Linked DNA regions of Lepisosteus oculatus. The protein of the gene in region 1 interacts with the protein of each later gene in a pairwise test. Links are inferred from orthologs where the notes say so. Each region holds a gene or a part of one and is shown in the gene's direction. Other genes may lie near its edges.

Region 1 (7,604 bases):
AAGAATTTCAGGGTATGAATATTAATTAGACCTTCATCCTTTTTCAAAGCTGACCATGGGTGCTCTGACTTTTAAAGTACAGTATAAGAGATGGAATGAGAAGACACTTTGATTTCTTGAAAAATCGTAAAAGAACAAGGGACATTCATATTCATACCCATAAATTAGGATGAATGCCAAACTGATTATAAAGTGTCACTGAAGATTTATTTATTCAAAAGTTATATTTCAGTTTAATTCATTCCAAAATAAAATTGTGTTATGTTCTGGAAAATTACAAAAGAGGAAAGTGACTTTGTCATGAAAGGAGTATAACATTGCTTGTAGTCTGCAGAACAGTCTGTGGTGAAAGACTATATAAATATAACAGCAACTCTGTATAAATGTTAGCACTGCATACTTTTATATAATGTATGTCCTTCATGCATGAATAACAGGATGAATTTTAAAACTTTTTCATGCTGTGGAAATAAGCCCCGCTTTTTGTGTTTTACATCCAGTTAATTCTCCAAGCCTGTATTTAATTAGCTTTCCTTCTCAAGGACTACATTCTTTCTGATCAGAGATGTACCCTTGAACATTGGGGTGCAAATTATGTTTGGGAAAAAAAAACCCAAACAAACATGAAAAAACTAGAGAGCCATACTGTAAAATACCAGTACATGAATCTTGGCCCCATACTGCGTTATACTACTACTAATAGTAATAAACTTTATTTTATATATCACCTTTAAAAGGTGGCTTCTCAAAGCGCTTGGGAACAATATAGAGCGGGTTAAAACAAATAAAGACAAGGGTGACAGAGAAAGAAGAAAAAAGAAGATTAAAAAATGAAAAGAGGCAAGAGGACTGACAGCCAAACGCACCAGCGTTCCCTCTCATTCAGAACCGGAAGTGAATACCTATCTATGAATTTCTGCCCTTCTTACTATGATTGCTACTGTTTGCCCAGGACGCCTATCATAAGAATAAGGGTGTCAGTATCCTGGCTAAATTTCGCTCTGGGCTTGTACAGCCTATCCTACCTAACAATTGCCCTAAATTCTACTGCTGAAGCAGTTTTTACACCTCTACTTGATCTGCTCTGCTGTAAGGTGCTGGTGCATAATGCCTATTGCACATCACTCAAGTGGATACTGCACTTTAGGGAGGGTGAAGAGTGCCCCTTCTGATACATTTAAAGGGCTTTGGGATTCTTTTGGGATGAAAAGCGCTATACAGTATAAGTATGATTAATTCTTGATGATCCTTCATGATAAGAATGAGTCAGATATTAAACTGCAGGAAAGATGTTACAGCGTACAAAATAAACTAAAACTGACACTCAAGAGAAAGAATCCCAGTTTGAAAGCTGGCATAGCAATAAGTGAGATGGTTTGGGATGGGGAAGCAAAAAAGGCATTCTGACTGGCCATTCTCCTGGCAGTAACTAGACAGAACCTGGCTGTCATTTTCTGAATTTAAAAAGGAGGTAACAATTCAGTTGAAGAAAAAAAACCCCATGAGAATTATGCTAGCAGCTCATGAAGAAAATAATACAGTTTCCTTGGAAATATAAATTAATATAAAACAATGTAAAAGATACAAAGGTTTTACTGCCACATATAAACTAAGGAATAAGAAGATCTGGGGGGTTTTCAGTTATTTCCCTCTAATTTTGTTAATCCAGCCATGAGGTAAATTTAGTCTTTACAATAAACAAGGCGGTCAGAAGTCATTAAATAATCTTCCACTGAATTTATATTCCATGAATGGATAATTATTTTTACTATAAGCTGTATGTTAAAATATTATTAATATGAACACTGGATGACTGCTGACATTGTATTTCCATCATTATTATTATAATAGAGAATTCAAAAGTACACCAGGCTCTATTTTTATTCATCTGTTGAATGCCATGCAATTGAAAGCTAGTTTTAGAAAAACAGAGGCATTCAGTATCTGCTGCACAAACCAATGAAATATGAATTCATATATGAAAGACTGGTATTGCATAAAAAATCACAATTGTCCTAAATAATTTTGCTAAGTTTCCGAATGCTGAAATCAAAATGAATTTAAAATAATCCCAATCAGCAACCAGTATTTCTTTGAACCTCCTCTTGGTTTGATAAACCTTCTTATAGGTTCAGGCACTTGTCAATAGGGATTTCTGATCATTTTTCCATATACAACTTCCACTTACTCAGCTGCTAGAAACTTATCTGAACTTTCTGAGACTATTTGAAACTGGCAATGGCTGAGAACACCAGAGGCTTACATTTCAGAATTGTATGACAAATTTGCAGAATGTAAATAAGTTTTAACATTGTGTATTTAGAATGCTATAAAGTTATTTTGCATAGATATCCTTGTGTAATATTCAAAACTGCAGTTACAGGCAGTTTATGTTTTAATTTATTCATGCAATAAATATTGAATAGGCACTTTCATTATTTTCTGCTAATACTAGCTTTCACCAAGATTCTATTAGGGGTATAAATTAATTTGGCATCAGCTGTGTAAGTTAATATTAATAGGTTTGATTTGATGTACATTTTTCAGTGGATTAGTCTGAATTTCCAAATAATGTTCAGTATTTTATATTATCTTAATATTTAGATCTCTCCAGGAATTGAAATTTAACAACAAAAGAAAAAAAACACTTCATCGATCATTAAATGATTTTGTTCACATGCAAGAAAAAATGCATGAAGACCTGATACCTTCTACAGTCGATTTAATTTAAAACTAGACAAAAAACTAAATTAATGAAAGTAAGTAAATTCACTTTTGACCGTCTGGGTAGATGGAGATATTCCGCAAAATATTGTCCCTTCATTTACATATTGTTTCTTCATGAAAAGTGTAAGAATTGGAACAGTGAAGTGAAATGTATCTCTTTTTTTTGCTGTGTACTAATGAAATTTGTATTTTAGACCAAAAGATTTGATATAAGATAATATAGAGTTGATTTGATGTAAGAAATACAGAATTTCAGCTGTTGTTATTGGGTATTATTTTTTAGCCACATTAAACCCATATCATTTAATGTGTTCAATTACCAATTTCTTCAGTATCCCAAAAATATGCTTTTCACTGTATGTGAGGAATACTGTCTTCCATGTTGGCCCAGACAACAACGCAAAGAACAGAAAGCATTTTCTAAGATGATATCAGTGCAAAAATTAAGGAACACTAATTCAAAAATCCAATCAATCAACATTGTTGTTTGAGTCTTAGTGCTAGGAAAAACAGATTACATTGTGAAAAGCACTCAACGTCAAAAACACTAGCTGTTGGTGGGGGGAATCATAACCATCATATTTCGCAGGAAAATGGAGAGCTTTCTTAATGAAATGTGAGATTAATGTAGTAAATTACCAAGTAGTAATATTATTTTTACCAAGGATAATAATGACAACACAAAGATAACCTTGCTATGGACATCTCGGAGCAAAGATCAAGCAACTCATAAGTTTTGGAGAAGCATAGCAGAGTGTGAGGCGACGGACTAGCACAGATTAAAAAAAAACAAACTTGCGTTACAAAACAAGGGGTATATACGCAGTATATTCAATTTCCTTTTCTCGGTGGTCTAGAATATGCATATTCTTTAAATGATGATTTATGGTTGTTGTTATTATTATTATAAGTGCGCCACATTTCAAGAACTGTGTCTGGGAAACATGATAAAATACAATGTTCTTTTAATAGTTTTCTTGAGACTTGTGTTTCTAACGTATTAAAATGAAGAGCATTGTATTTATTCAGCACCTTACAGTTAAACTGAAACGTCAAACAGAATGATAGTGAATTGTTTATTTTATAGGAACCGAGGCTGGATTCCAAGTGACATTTAGCGGAGTTTCAGTGCAAACGCACATCAAGAGGTTCACCCTTCTAGCGAATTACAGCTCACTGCAGGAAACCCCCTTACCTTTCCAATGACGTAACACACACGGGCAGAAGGCGTTCCTCCGTTAGGTCATTGTTCAGCCTGCCGTGACGTCCTCATGCTCCTCCGGCACTGAAAAAGCTCAGGTTCTCCTGTCTCTCCCCTGGCAGAGTGCGAGCGACATGCCACTTTAAACGCTAACAGCTTTCAACAATTCCTTCCTCTCCTGTTAGGAGGTTGCAATTCTGACATGGAATAGGAAAGTAAATCAATTCATGATCCTAGGAAAAAGAAACGGTTAGTTCTCTAACTACAGGTAATTTCTGTAGCAACACATTTGACCACTGCTGTGTGAAAATAGGTTGCCTTTTTCTTTGTTGTTTGGTTATACTGCTCACTACAGTATAAATCAGCAGGATCGCACCTATACGAAGCATAAGTGTATTAAATGTATATAAATAGATGAAAGTCATGTATGTACATGTATACGTATGTAAATGAATAAATGATACATACCACTATAATTGTATACATAAAGCATCCGTCTCACTTTGGAGCAAGAAAAATAAGAGAAAACCAACTAACTGTGCCCGTGCAGGCAGGGATGAAAGACAGCTCCGGCTGCTGACACTGACAGCCGAGGGGTCGAGCAATTCACGGGCGCCTGCGAGATTCTCGCGAAGCATTGCGGATAGCGACGCCATTTTGGGAAGGAGAGGGGCAAAAGCGGCAAAAATTAAAAATAAAAAGAAGAAAAAAGATCGTATTAAACAAATCCGTCCTCCGCAATGGTGCACGGGAACGCCAAGGATAACGCTTGACAATGGGGAACTTTCTTGCTCGCCTGGTATTGCTCACAGATTGAGAAAGTGGATAGGAAATTGTAAAAAAGGAAGAGGCTAAATTTTGGCTAATGAGTGTGTCTTGTAATTGGACAGTGTTAAGAAGTGGTACCAGTGTGAGTATTTTCAGGGCCATCGGGAGAGAACTAGTGGAATAGGTTTGCCACAGGTAAGCGGACTGTAAAGAAGTTCAAAAGCCCTTTCTTGACGAGCTGTAAAAAATAGCGGCGGTGATGATCGATTTGCAAGCCCGTTTAAAGACGACTGCAAACAGAAACCAAGTGTTATTGTCTCATGGTAGTTGTGTGCGCAGTTGTCCCACGCTGGTGTTTTATTTTTCCATTATGTAACATGCGATGCACAGTGTGACGGTCGTCACCCGCGCCGCTGCGGCGACCCGCGGGCGCGGAGCTGCCTTGTCTGGACCGGGGGGTTTCCAAACCTGCTCCCGGAGGGCCGGTGGGTGCGGGTGCGGGTTTTCACTCCAGCTCCGCTCTGAACGAGCTAAATCAGATGGGTACCGTCTTAACTGCACCCCTTTAATATCGCCTCTCTCTTCTTCGGGTGCTGCTGCTTTAAGAGAGCTTGAAAACCCGCGGAAGAACCGACCCCTCCAGGACCAGGATTGGGGACTCAGGCTGGACTGTCGGGCGCTTTGCTCATCGCTTCTTTTTTTTTTACTGTCACCTTTTCGTATGTCATTAAAAAAGAACACCAAACGAACCGGACGCTTCGCTGAAAATAAAAACAGAGCAACATTTTGGATAGTTGGTGGTATGTTTTGTAACTATTATTGTGTAGTCTTCGCGTGTTGGAGATCCACTAACCTTTTTCGTATTCTTTCTCTTGCAGACGAGGAGCTGTTTGCCCGTTGGTCTGCATTAATAATACACTGTCAAGAAGCTGCTGTTTATTTGGAGTCCAAACCCGACGACGAATGGCCCATTTCTCGGCTTTTGTGTGTGCCAAATATGCCGAAGGACGGACTGCTGGCCCTGAGAATCCCGAGATGAAATAGGAAGTCCGTATCTTTAAATATCGTGACATTTACACTCGGACTTGACGAGACACACTTGGTCCAAGAGGTTTTCTGAGACTGGCGTTTGAAGAATATGAGTCAGTAGTTGCACTTTACTGAGTTGGAACGAAAGATTTTCCAGATTTTTTGGCTTGAATTGCCCGGAATCGGCTTTCAATAATGACAGATTAAAAACACTTCGAGATTATTCTACCGGCGGGTTATGCTGCACGTTTATAGATGAGGGCAATTGAGAGTAGCAGCCGTCGTCTCATTTTTTGTGATGTGATTTTTTTATTTTCTCTTTGTTTTTGTAGGTAGTGCGAGAATGGTGTCAAGATAGTCTCCTGTTTTGATAACTTTTGCAGGGGACGCCTGATCCTGAGCCTCAACCCCTTCTTTTTTTTCCTGAAAAGTGTCATACACACACTGATGTATCGGGCACAGTAAACGTTAATTCGCTTAACGTTGACATCCTTAAACCGTCTCTTCCATTCTGGGATTTGGGATTATTCAAAAGAAGATGGCAAGTTGATTGAGGATTACGTGTACATATTGTAAAGGACCCGATCTGCATGAGAAATCTGTAGGCAGAACACCGGGATTATTACATTGTTGGTATTTTTTTTTTCATTGCTAAAGACAAAAGGAAGAAACGTGGAGCTTTTGGGAAGTCTGACGACAAGAGACGCCTTTTTGTACAGTCCTCAACATTTGGTTAGTAACATCTTACTGAACGCTTCGGCTTTGTTTTTTAAGGATTTTACCCTTAATGGATCGCAAGCTTTAAAAGTCGGAATATACTTGTGTATTCAATTATAGCACATGCGGATATTAATTTGACTTATGTTGTCGGTCTATGGATGGAAAAGATATTAAGCAAACCTCGCTATTACCTTATTGCCAGTAATTTATATTAAAAAAAGTATATATGTGAGTGGTATAGACCTACTTTATTTTCATACGGGAAGTAATAGCGCCTTCTGTCATGGTCGGTATTTTATTGTGTTCGTTGATTGGTGGTAGTAATAACTGAAAAATGATAGAGAAGAAATAACAGAAAATTTCAGTGTCACTTTTTAGTGATTGGACATAACAGCGGTATCCTGGGAAAATCTTTTTTTTTTTTGCAGACATCATTTTTACGTCATCTCAGTTTTTGTCCGCAGAAAGCCACATGATTTCGACTGTAAAGCTGCGATGTTTTTCTTCTGGCATCATAGGGTTGCAGTGTTTGAGAGTACAGCCAAAAGATGGTACTCTGTGAAAGGAAATCTGTGGGCGGACAGATCTTAAGTGCACTTTCACTTCTTTCTGTGTTTTCAGACCGTAACCCTGTTGTCACCGCATGTTTTGTATTGGTGCCCATTAGCGTCTGGCTCTCGTTTGGGAAAAAAAAAAACAGGTGCTGGATCATGCATGCTGTAAATTGAAGTATTGAGATTTTTTAAAACTTTTCTTCAGGGTGGTTAAATATTGCATGACATTGGGGAGCCTGAGATCCCAGGGATTTTCAATAAAGAAAGGTTTGCTTACTTTTAGCTTTTTAATTTCCTGCTATCAGGCTTTTGGTGTTCGTCACAGTTTTGAATTCTAATGGTTGTAGGAGTAGGGCACATGTTCTTGAATAACCATGCTTAATAGCAGGTTTTCTTTGTGGATCTGAGCATTTACTGGCAAGGTAATAGTATTGCATCATATGAATAGCTACTGTAAAATAAATTGTGATAGTTGTCAATTTTATGGTCTCTAGGCCTTTAGCGTTCTCTAAGAAATCCTGTGAAGCGGTCCAGCACAGTGTGCAGTCTGTTGATTGAAATTGAGTGTTGTGTAAAACAAGTGTTGAACATTTTAAGAACTGTGA
Region 2 (7,784 bases), on another chromosome or scaffold:
TCAGCACCCCGACAAGTAAAATCCACACCACCTCGCTCAATTCTACAACGAATTACGATTCCAGCGTGCCTGCGTGGGTATCACTTTCACAGTTCGACCTGCAGTCGAGATGACTCAGGGAAGCAAGGTGATTGAAGGCCCATATGCTTGAATCTGTGGCACTCTTAATGTGTTAAGAAAGCCTCGTCAGTATTTATGGCGCAGTATGAAGTCTTACTGGAGTTGCAGGGTCGATGCCAAACTCAGGCGCAGATTTCCTTCTTGGTCTCAAGCTTCGGATGCAGCACGATTGTCGGTTTTCTTCGGCGGGTCCTGTGCAAACGAACGCATTCATACAGCATCGCCTCCTGCTGGTGTGCATTCGGACAATACGTACATTTTCTTTAAGTTACAATTAAAAAGCAATTAAACACCAGTCTAATTAAATTATTTATTTTAAACAGCTGCTTCCATTTTAAATTTATAGTTTAAGACAACGAACCCAAGCGAACCCAAATAAAATATTTGACGTTCGCTGGGGGCTTTTAAGGCTGGGCAGATTCGGGCTCCTCGAAAACTAGTAATAGCAACTGGTGTGCGCAATGAACTTGTTTGATTACAAACCCCGGTACAGCTTTTCCAGCTAAATTAAGCGAGCAACCACATGTAGTCCGAACATCCTTCATATGAACAAGCGTTAATGCGTTTTATTTGTAATAATTTAAAAGAGAAATTCTAATATAAATGTTTGTTCATAATGTATAATAGGTGTTATGAACAAACAAAAGTGGTAGCTCTCGAGTCTCAGTTTGATAGATCTTGCGTTACAGGAGCTCCGTCTAGTGGCAGAATTAAAGCACTGCAGGTGCTTTGAAACAGCAGTGGGAAAATCGAATGTGCATTTTTACAGCGCTTCTCATTCCGAAGGATCTGATCCCCAGAGATCTCACCTCCGAAAGACGAGACCTTTTGCACCTTAATGAATTCGATCATCATACAAAGGCATTGGCATTGAATTTCTGTTGGAGGCAGAAGAGCGCCACCTACTGGCTCACCACCTCACTTAAAGCAGCAGCTCTCTCTGGAGGTCTGTCCCTCTCAGCCCTGGCCTATCATCTGAGATCTCAAAAGAAGGCAATATCTCTGCCAACATAACTCAGCCTCTGTGGGCGTTCCAGTGGTCCATCTGTTACTGTATAAAGCATGGCTAAATACATAATTCTCAACATCAACTCAGTACTCCTTGCACACTGACTTTCCTGCTCTTCGTTACTTAACCCTATTAACGCCTGACATATTTTCAGAACTCTATTTCTATTTCTCTGCCTTCATAAACCCTTTTTCTTTTATCATTCAGAGCAGCCCACGCCGGTTAAGCATTAGTTGAATGGGCTCTTTCGTTCCCTATCGGACCAATTCTGTGTTGCCTCACTGTGGTTTCAGTGCTTTGCTGCTGCTGTTTTTTTTAAATTGAAAACAGTTCAAGCAGCTACAGTCAGTTCTGTTTTGCTAGAGTGTCTGCTTCATCATCTTGGCTTTTGGTGTCTGGAAATGTGCCTCTGTCTCAGTGCTGGTATTTTAATAATAATAGTAATTGCTGACACATACTTTTCCTGACCCTCCACTCAGGACACTTTACAGGTAATGTGGATCCTCTCCACCACCACCAGTGTGCAGCCCCACCTGGATGATGCGACAGCAGCCAGAGTGTGCCAGAACGCTCACCACACATCAGCTATTAGTGGGGAGGAGAGCAGAGTAATGAAGCCAATTCAGAGATGGGGATTATTAGGAGGCCATGAATGATAAACGTCAGGGTGAAAATAGCCAGGACACCAGGGTTACACCCTTACCCTTTTCAAGAAGTTCCCTGGGATTTTCAATCACCACAGAGAGTCAGGACCTCGGTTTTACATCTCATCCGAAGGACGGCACCTTTTTACAGTATAGTGTCCCCATCTCTATAGCGGGGCATTATTTCTGTTTTTTTCCAGCAGAGCTATCCCAAATCTATTTGATTCCAGATGAGCTCTCTAGTATTAAAATGGGCCTTACATTCAGCAAGTAGCCTGCTTGATTAGACCCCTGACATTGTTGGGGTCTAAAAAAGTTAAACTTTTTTTAACTTTACATATTTTGACAACACTCGGTTGTTTATGAATGGAAAACAAGTTTTAAAGTTCTGTTTACAGAACTTACCATCTCATTTAAAAGCTACAGTGAAGGTTAGTATCTGCTGGAGTCATGCAGACCAGAATGGGTCTTTTTCTACATCTTATATGATTTTACAGCAATGACCGAGACATTTCTGAACCTGTACATTTTAGATGCTTGAAGATTGGGGCTGAGGAACAAGGCGAGAGGATTAATAATTAATAATAATTCCTTACACTTATATTGCACTTTTCTGGACTCTCCACTCAAAGCACTTTACAGGTAATGGAGATCCCCTCCTCCACCACCACCAGTGTGCAGCCCCACCTGGATGAGGTGACGGCAGCCACAGTGCTCCAGTACTCTCCACACACCAGCTCTCAGTGGGGAGGAGAGCAGAGTGATGAAGCCAGTTCAGAGATGGGGATTATTAGGAGGCCATGATTGGTAAGGACTAATGGGAAATTTGGCCAGGACACTGGGGTTACACCCCTACTCTTTTCAAGAAATGCCCTGGGATTGTTAATGACCACAGACGGACAGGACCTCGGTTTTTCGTCTCATCCGAAGGACAGCACCTTTTTAGAGTATAGTGTCCCTCTATCACTATACTGGGGCATTAGGACCCACACTGACCGAAGGGGTTAGCGCCCCCTGCTGGCCCCACTAACACCTCTGCCAGCAGCGACCTTAGTTTTTCTCCCATCTTGTAGGGCGGACTAGATCAGTGACTTCCTGAGAGCTGTTTGCAGAGCTGTTTGCCCTGAGAGTGCCTCCTTCAATGTCGGGCGAGTTGTTTCCCATGGCCTCTGCAATACTCCAGAAAACCAGCACAGAGCGTCAGCGCGTGTGTCACGACATCAGAAAGGTGACAATTAACCCCACTGGTGGGTGGGCCTGTTTAGCCTGTTTGTAAGTTAGTAACTAATTGATCCAAGTATCTCATCCAGCTGTTTTCAAGTCTCTTTAAGATTAAGTGATAAAGCGTATGACAGCAATGCTAACACCCCTGTACCACCATACTGTACCACCCTGATCGCCTACTAACAGCTGTTTAATCAAAAATAGCAGTAAGTTTAATCAGAAACAAGCAAGTTGAGGTTGTCACTGATTACTGCACGTGTGAACGCAAAGACTGTGAGAAACAAACTACAGGCAAACAGATCGATTTCTGCTACTGTTTCCTTCAAGAATAATAATAATAATAATAATGATAATAATAATAATACACTTTTTTTATATAACGCCTTTGAAGGTGGCTTCTCAAAGCGCTTTACAGGATGACAACAACAATAAATAAAAAGAATACACAAGATAAAACACAATTACAACAATACAACAATTACAATAGAGGAGACCGTGGATGGTGGTACTAAGAAGAGCAGAGGGGTGAAGAATGGAACCAGTTCAGTAAAGGCTTTTCTGAAGAAGAGGGTTTTGAGTCTGGATTTGAAGGAGGTTAGAGAAGGTGACTCTCTGATATCCTTGGGGAGAGAGTTCCAGAGCTTGGGGGCATAACAGGAGAAGGCCCTGTCACCCATACAATGTAGACGGGCTTGGGGGACAGTAAGGAGAGCAGAAAACACAAGATAACTCTGGGTTGAAGCAGGTTTTGTTCTCATTCGTTCATTTTCATTCAGCAACCTGTAACCTGTATACCCTCCTGTAACTCTTAATTGGCAGCCCCACTGAAGCTCAGCAGTGTGAGCCTGGTCAGTACCTGGATGAGAGGCCTCCTGGGAAAGCTAAGGCTGCTGCTGGAAGAGGTGTTAGTGGGGCCAGTAGGGGGTGCTCACCATGCAGTCCATGTGGGTCCTGATGCCCCACTATAGTGATGGGGATGCTGCACTGTAAAAAGGTGTTGTCTTCAGATGAGATGTAAAACCGAGGTTCTGACTCTCTGTGGTCATTAAAAATCCCAGCACGTTTCTCGAAAAGAGTAGGGGTGTAACCCAGGTGTGCTGGACAACATTTCTCATTGGCTTTTAACAACCATGGCTTCCTAATAATCCCCCTCTCTGAAATGGCTTCATTACTCTGTTCTCCTCCCCACTGAGAGCTGGTGTGTGGTGAGAGTACTGCTGTCACATCATCCAGGTGGGGGCTGCACACTGTTGATGGTGGAGGGGAGACCCCATTACCTGTAAAGCACTTTGAGTGGAGTGTCCAGAAAAGCGCTATATGAGTGTAAGGAATTATTATTATATTTATTCTACCTTACTCTTACCTTCGAAAAAGTAGGTTCTCACCTGTTCCAGTTCCTGCCACGAGGTGGCGACAACACTCATTCAGTCTTGCAGCTGAGGTCTCTGCGGGCCAATTGCTGTAGTTTAATGTCTGATTTTATTGTTGGTTCTATTTCCAACATTACTGAAAGGGGGGGGGGGGACACCTATTGTTTGTATTTATTTACTAGATGATAACGCATTTCATGTAATTAAATACATTTGGCGACACTTTGATCATCATCATTATCATCGTTGTTATAATTATTGTTGCTACTACAGTAAATAGAAATGTAGCGTTTGGGCGCCCCGCACATCATCGTGTTTGATGGTTTTCTGTAGTGGCAGAATGACCTCACAATGCTGTCGTGCTCGGTAATGGTAACTATAGTGATACAGGCCTAATCAAAACACTTAAAAAAATCCCTTTAATGTGTAAACAGTGAGGAAAATTTGGTAGCCCATGGATTATAATAATTTCTAAGTACAGGTGATGCTCACAACGAAGGTAGGAGAAACAGATGCAAACACAATTCAAAAGTTTGCCTTCGCATGAAAGTGACAGACGAGTTATGTCCTCATACATATACAACTGTATTAGACCGTGTTATATTATATCCCCAAAAAGATATGTTCTCTGTTTGGGCGACTAGAAAATGGGATATTTACAGTAGGCATCCGATAGTGGTCAGCTGTCCCAGGTTCACTCCAGATGTTTATTGGGATTTAACGACGTTCGCTCAAGAATAGTGTTTACAGAGAGCTCATATCCAGCTTGTTAAACACGGGTCTGACTTATTTAATGTGTAAAAGGTGGAATTATTTAAGTCTCAAAACGGTTCTGCCCCTTCAGCGAATGTGAACAGGTGCTAATGCATATTCGCACCCAAGGTGCGATATGTGTGCGCTCTTCATACAGTCTGTAAACCCGGAACGTGTTCGCGGTTGTGCGTGTTCGTAAGAGTGTAAACCGTGCAATCATCCTCACTCAGCTTGTCCTGATCAGAACCAAGAAGCTGCATGTCGAGTCGTGGGAGAATGTTGCAATATACTGCTGTACCGTGGCGGTTAGCTTCAGCCGAATTTCTCCAGAAACGGAAGTGAACGCCCTTCCTCTGGCTCGCGGTGCGCGAAGATTCATTAGTGGTAAACAACTTACCTTTTACACGCATCCTGTGCAAATGTGAAAATACACAGCTAATACCTGTTGTTTTTTACTTAAAACCACAAAAGATAAACTACACGCAGTAACACAGAAGTGCTGTAGTACTGACACTTTTGCAGACGTCAATAAAATACGAGCTGAAGTCAAAATATATTTATTCAATGCGGTTAATTTTTATGGCTGCTGTTTTTGCGTAGCTCTCGTTTATTTTGTATGCCCTGCGAGGCCAACCAAACAGAATGGGGGAAAAAAAGTTTTGTAAATAGGGACTAGTGTTCCTCAAAGTAGCTCGGAGATCCACCGGCAAGCTGCAACGTTACTGAGGGGAAAAGCAGTAGGTACAGATGAACACGCCCTAGTCTTTTATAGCTATATCCTAGTAACTAATCCCCTTAAGGGAGGGTATGTAGTACTGGTCTATTTTATTTTCACCGGAGCTGAGCTGTTCACAGCCCAGAGCCAGTGATGTACGACTTAAATGGGTCTGTTTCACACCTTGTCTATTTTTATAACGGCCGGTAATATAAAGTGGTCTGTTCACAACTGCTGAATCAGAACCAGTGCACGACACCCCTGCCAATGTCTCACTTTGTGCAGCATAATTTTTTTTCTTATCCTGTGAGAAATCCCAGTACAAAACAGAATGCAGATGTAATATTAGCCCTCTGTAGTCACTGCTAATGAAGTCTTACACCACTGCGTGTGTGGGTTTATTCAATTTAGTGTTTTAATGATGATAAGAGCAGGTGGAGACTGAATCATGTTTTAATGTTGGTCTTTTCTGTACAGTATCTCTCCATGCATGTATTGCTTTAGAGGTAGTTCTATTCTGTGCGGTACTGTCACAGATGTTCTGATTTCTCCACTAACCACAAAAACATTTTGCAATGCCTGTGGCATGCTGTTGTGAGCCATACTAAAAACAGCTATTTTCATTCTCTATATGATTCCCATTTTGCTGCCTCTTAGTTGTCCCTACCGTTAGGTCTTCCTGTACGGTGGCCCTGAGGTGCCAAGTGAAACAGAGGATAGTGTTTCTAGGAAGGGGGTCTTTCATAGATGAGAGGTGTATGTATACCATAATATACAATACTGTGTGAAGTGTCATGCACAGTTTCTAGGAGACACCATTCTCACACACAATTAAGAGACACCAGTTATCCTAGGCAGCATGTCTGTGGGAGGAAACTGGAGAATCTGTGGGAAGCTCACATGAGCAGGGAGAGAACATGCAAAGTCCATTCAGAATGTGCCCCAGGCTGAAATCGAACCCATCGTCAAAGAGCTGCAAGGTATGGGGGCATTTCTGACCAGCAGCGTAGCATGGCCAAAACACTTGAGTGTGCACTCAGGACATCACCTAAAATGTTCCATTTGCCTTCCCAGAACAGCCAACACAACAGCAGAATTACTGCCCAGAAGGACTGGTGTTGGGGTTGCAGAATGGCATTAACATCCTTCAGCAGATAATGGAAACTGATTAGGGAAGGGCAAATGATTCTCCTTGCCTCTGAGGAGTCAAGTCCCAGTGATCTGTGGTTGGCTATCATGGATTGGGAGACTCTCCTGGGCTGTGATGAGCCAGCATACACGTGGGCCAAGACCTTACTCTGTCTCACCCCCAGATGTGTCTCTCCCACTGTGCATCAGACGAATATGGTTCCCCTTGCTTACACTGATGCTCACTCAATAGCTCAGGCAGGTTCCCCACAGCCAGGTCTTCTAACCCTGGACACAGGCTCTGCCACCATCAGCTGGGGTCTGGCCTCTGAACATCACAGTTTCAGGTCCAGGGCTGTGAAACCCTTACAGTGCTCATGTGCCCTCTACCCAACACCAGTATGCATGCAAGCGGACCTTCTTATCGGCGTTGTGCATGGCTTAGGACAAAAACCAGATTGTATGTTACTGTACATCTCTAGAATCCTCTACTTCTTACAGTCCCACCTTGATTTGGTATAGGAGCTCATACCTGGTTTAGTTAAAGGCCCTTCCTCGTTGCAGACGATGCATTCTTTTTCAGAGAATCAAAGGTGTGAAGGCAAACCATTGTTTTTCACACCTTCACATAACCCATCATTTAAACTGAGGTACCCTCCAGCCCAGTGCCTTTTTCTCAAGGAGACCTTCACCAGCAGAGATTAAGTTAAGAGGTTATCTTGGGGACAGGGAGCTTCTCGCCATTAAGCTCACCCTTGAGGAGAGGAGGCACTGGCTGGCGGCAGCTCAACATCCATTTACTGTTCCACAGCAAGCCAGGT

What was found.
Region 2: the proteins of vasculin (region 1) and fibronectin type III domain-containing protein 11 interact in binary tests that used the Homo sapiens proteins (3 or more experiments, as listed by UniProt). The link is inferred for Lepisosteus oculatus from reciprocal best matches to the Homo sapiens genes GPBP1 and FNDC11.

What each region holds. Positions count from the first base shown.
Region 1 is NC_090698.1:47,156,578-47,164,181, forward strand, and holds the start of vasculin, read left to right. Parts: upstream 1-4,588; 5' UTR 4,589-4,891; intron 4,892-5,102; exon of another isoform or gene 5,103-5,496; intron 5,497-5,574; 5' UTR 5,575-5,743; exon of another isoform or gene 5,744-6,057; 5' UTR 6,058-6,457; intron 6,458-7,604. UniProt on the Homo sapiens protein: Functions as a GC-rich promoter-specific transactivating transcription factor.
Region 2 is NC_090711.1:13,185,309-13,193,092, forward strand, and holds the start of fibronectin type III domain-containing protein 11, read left to right. Parts: upstream 1-4,764; 5' UTR 4,765-4,866; intron 4,867-7,784.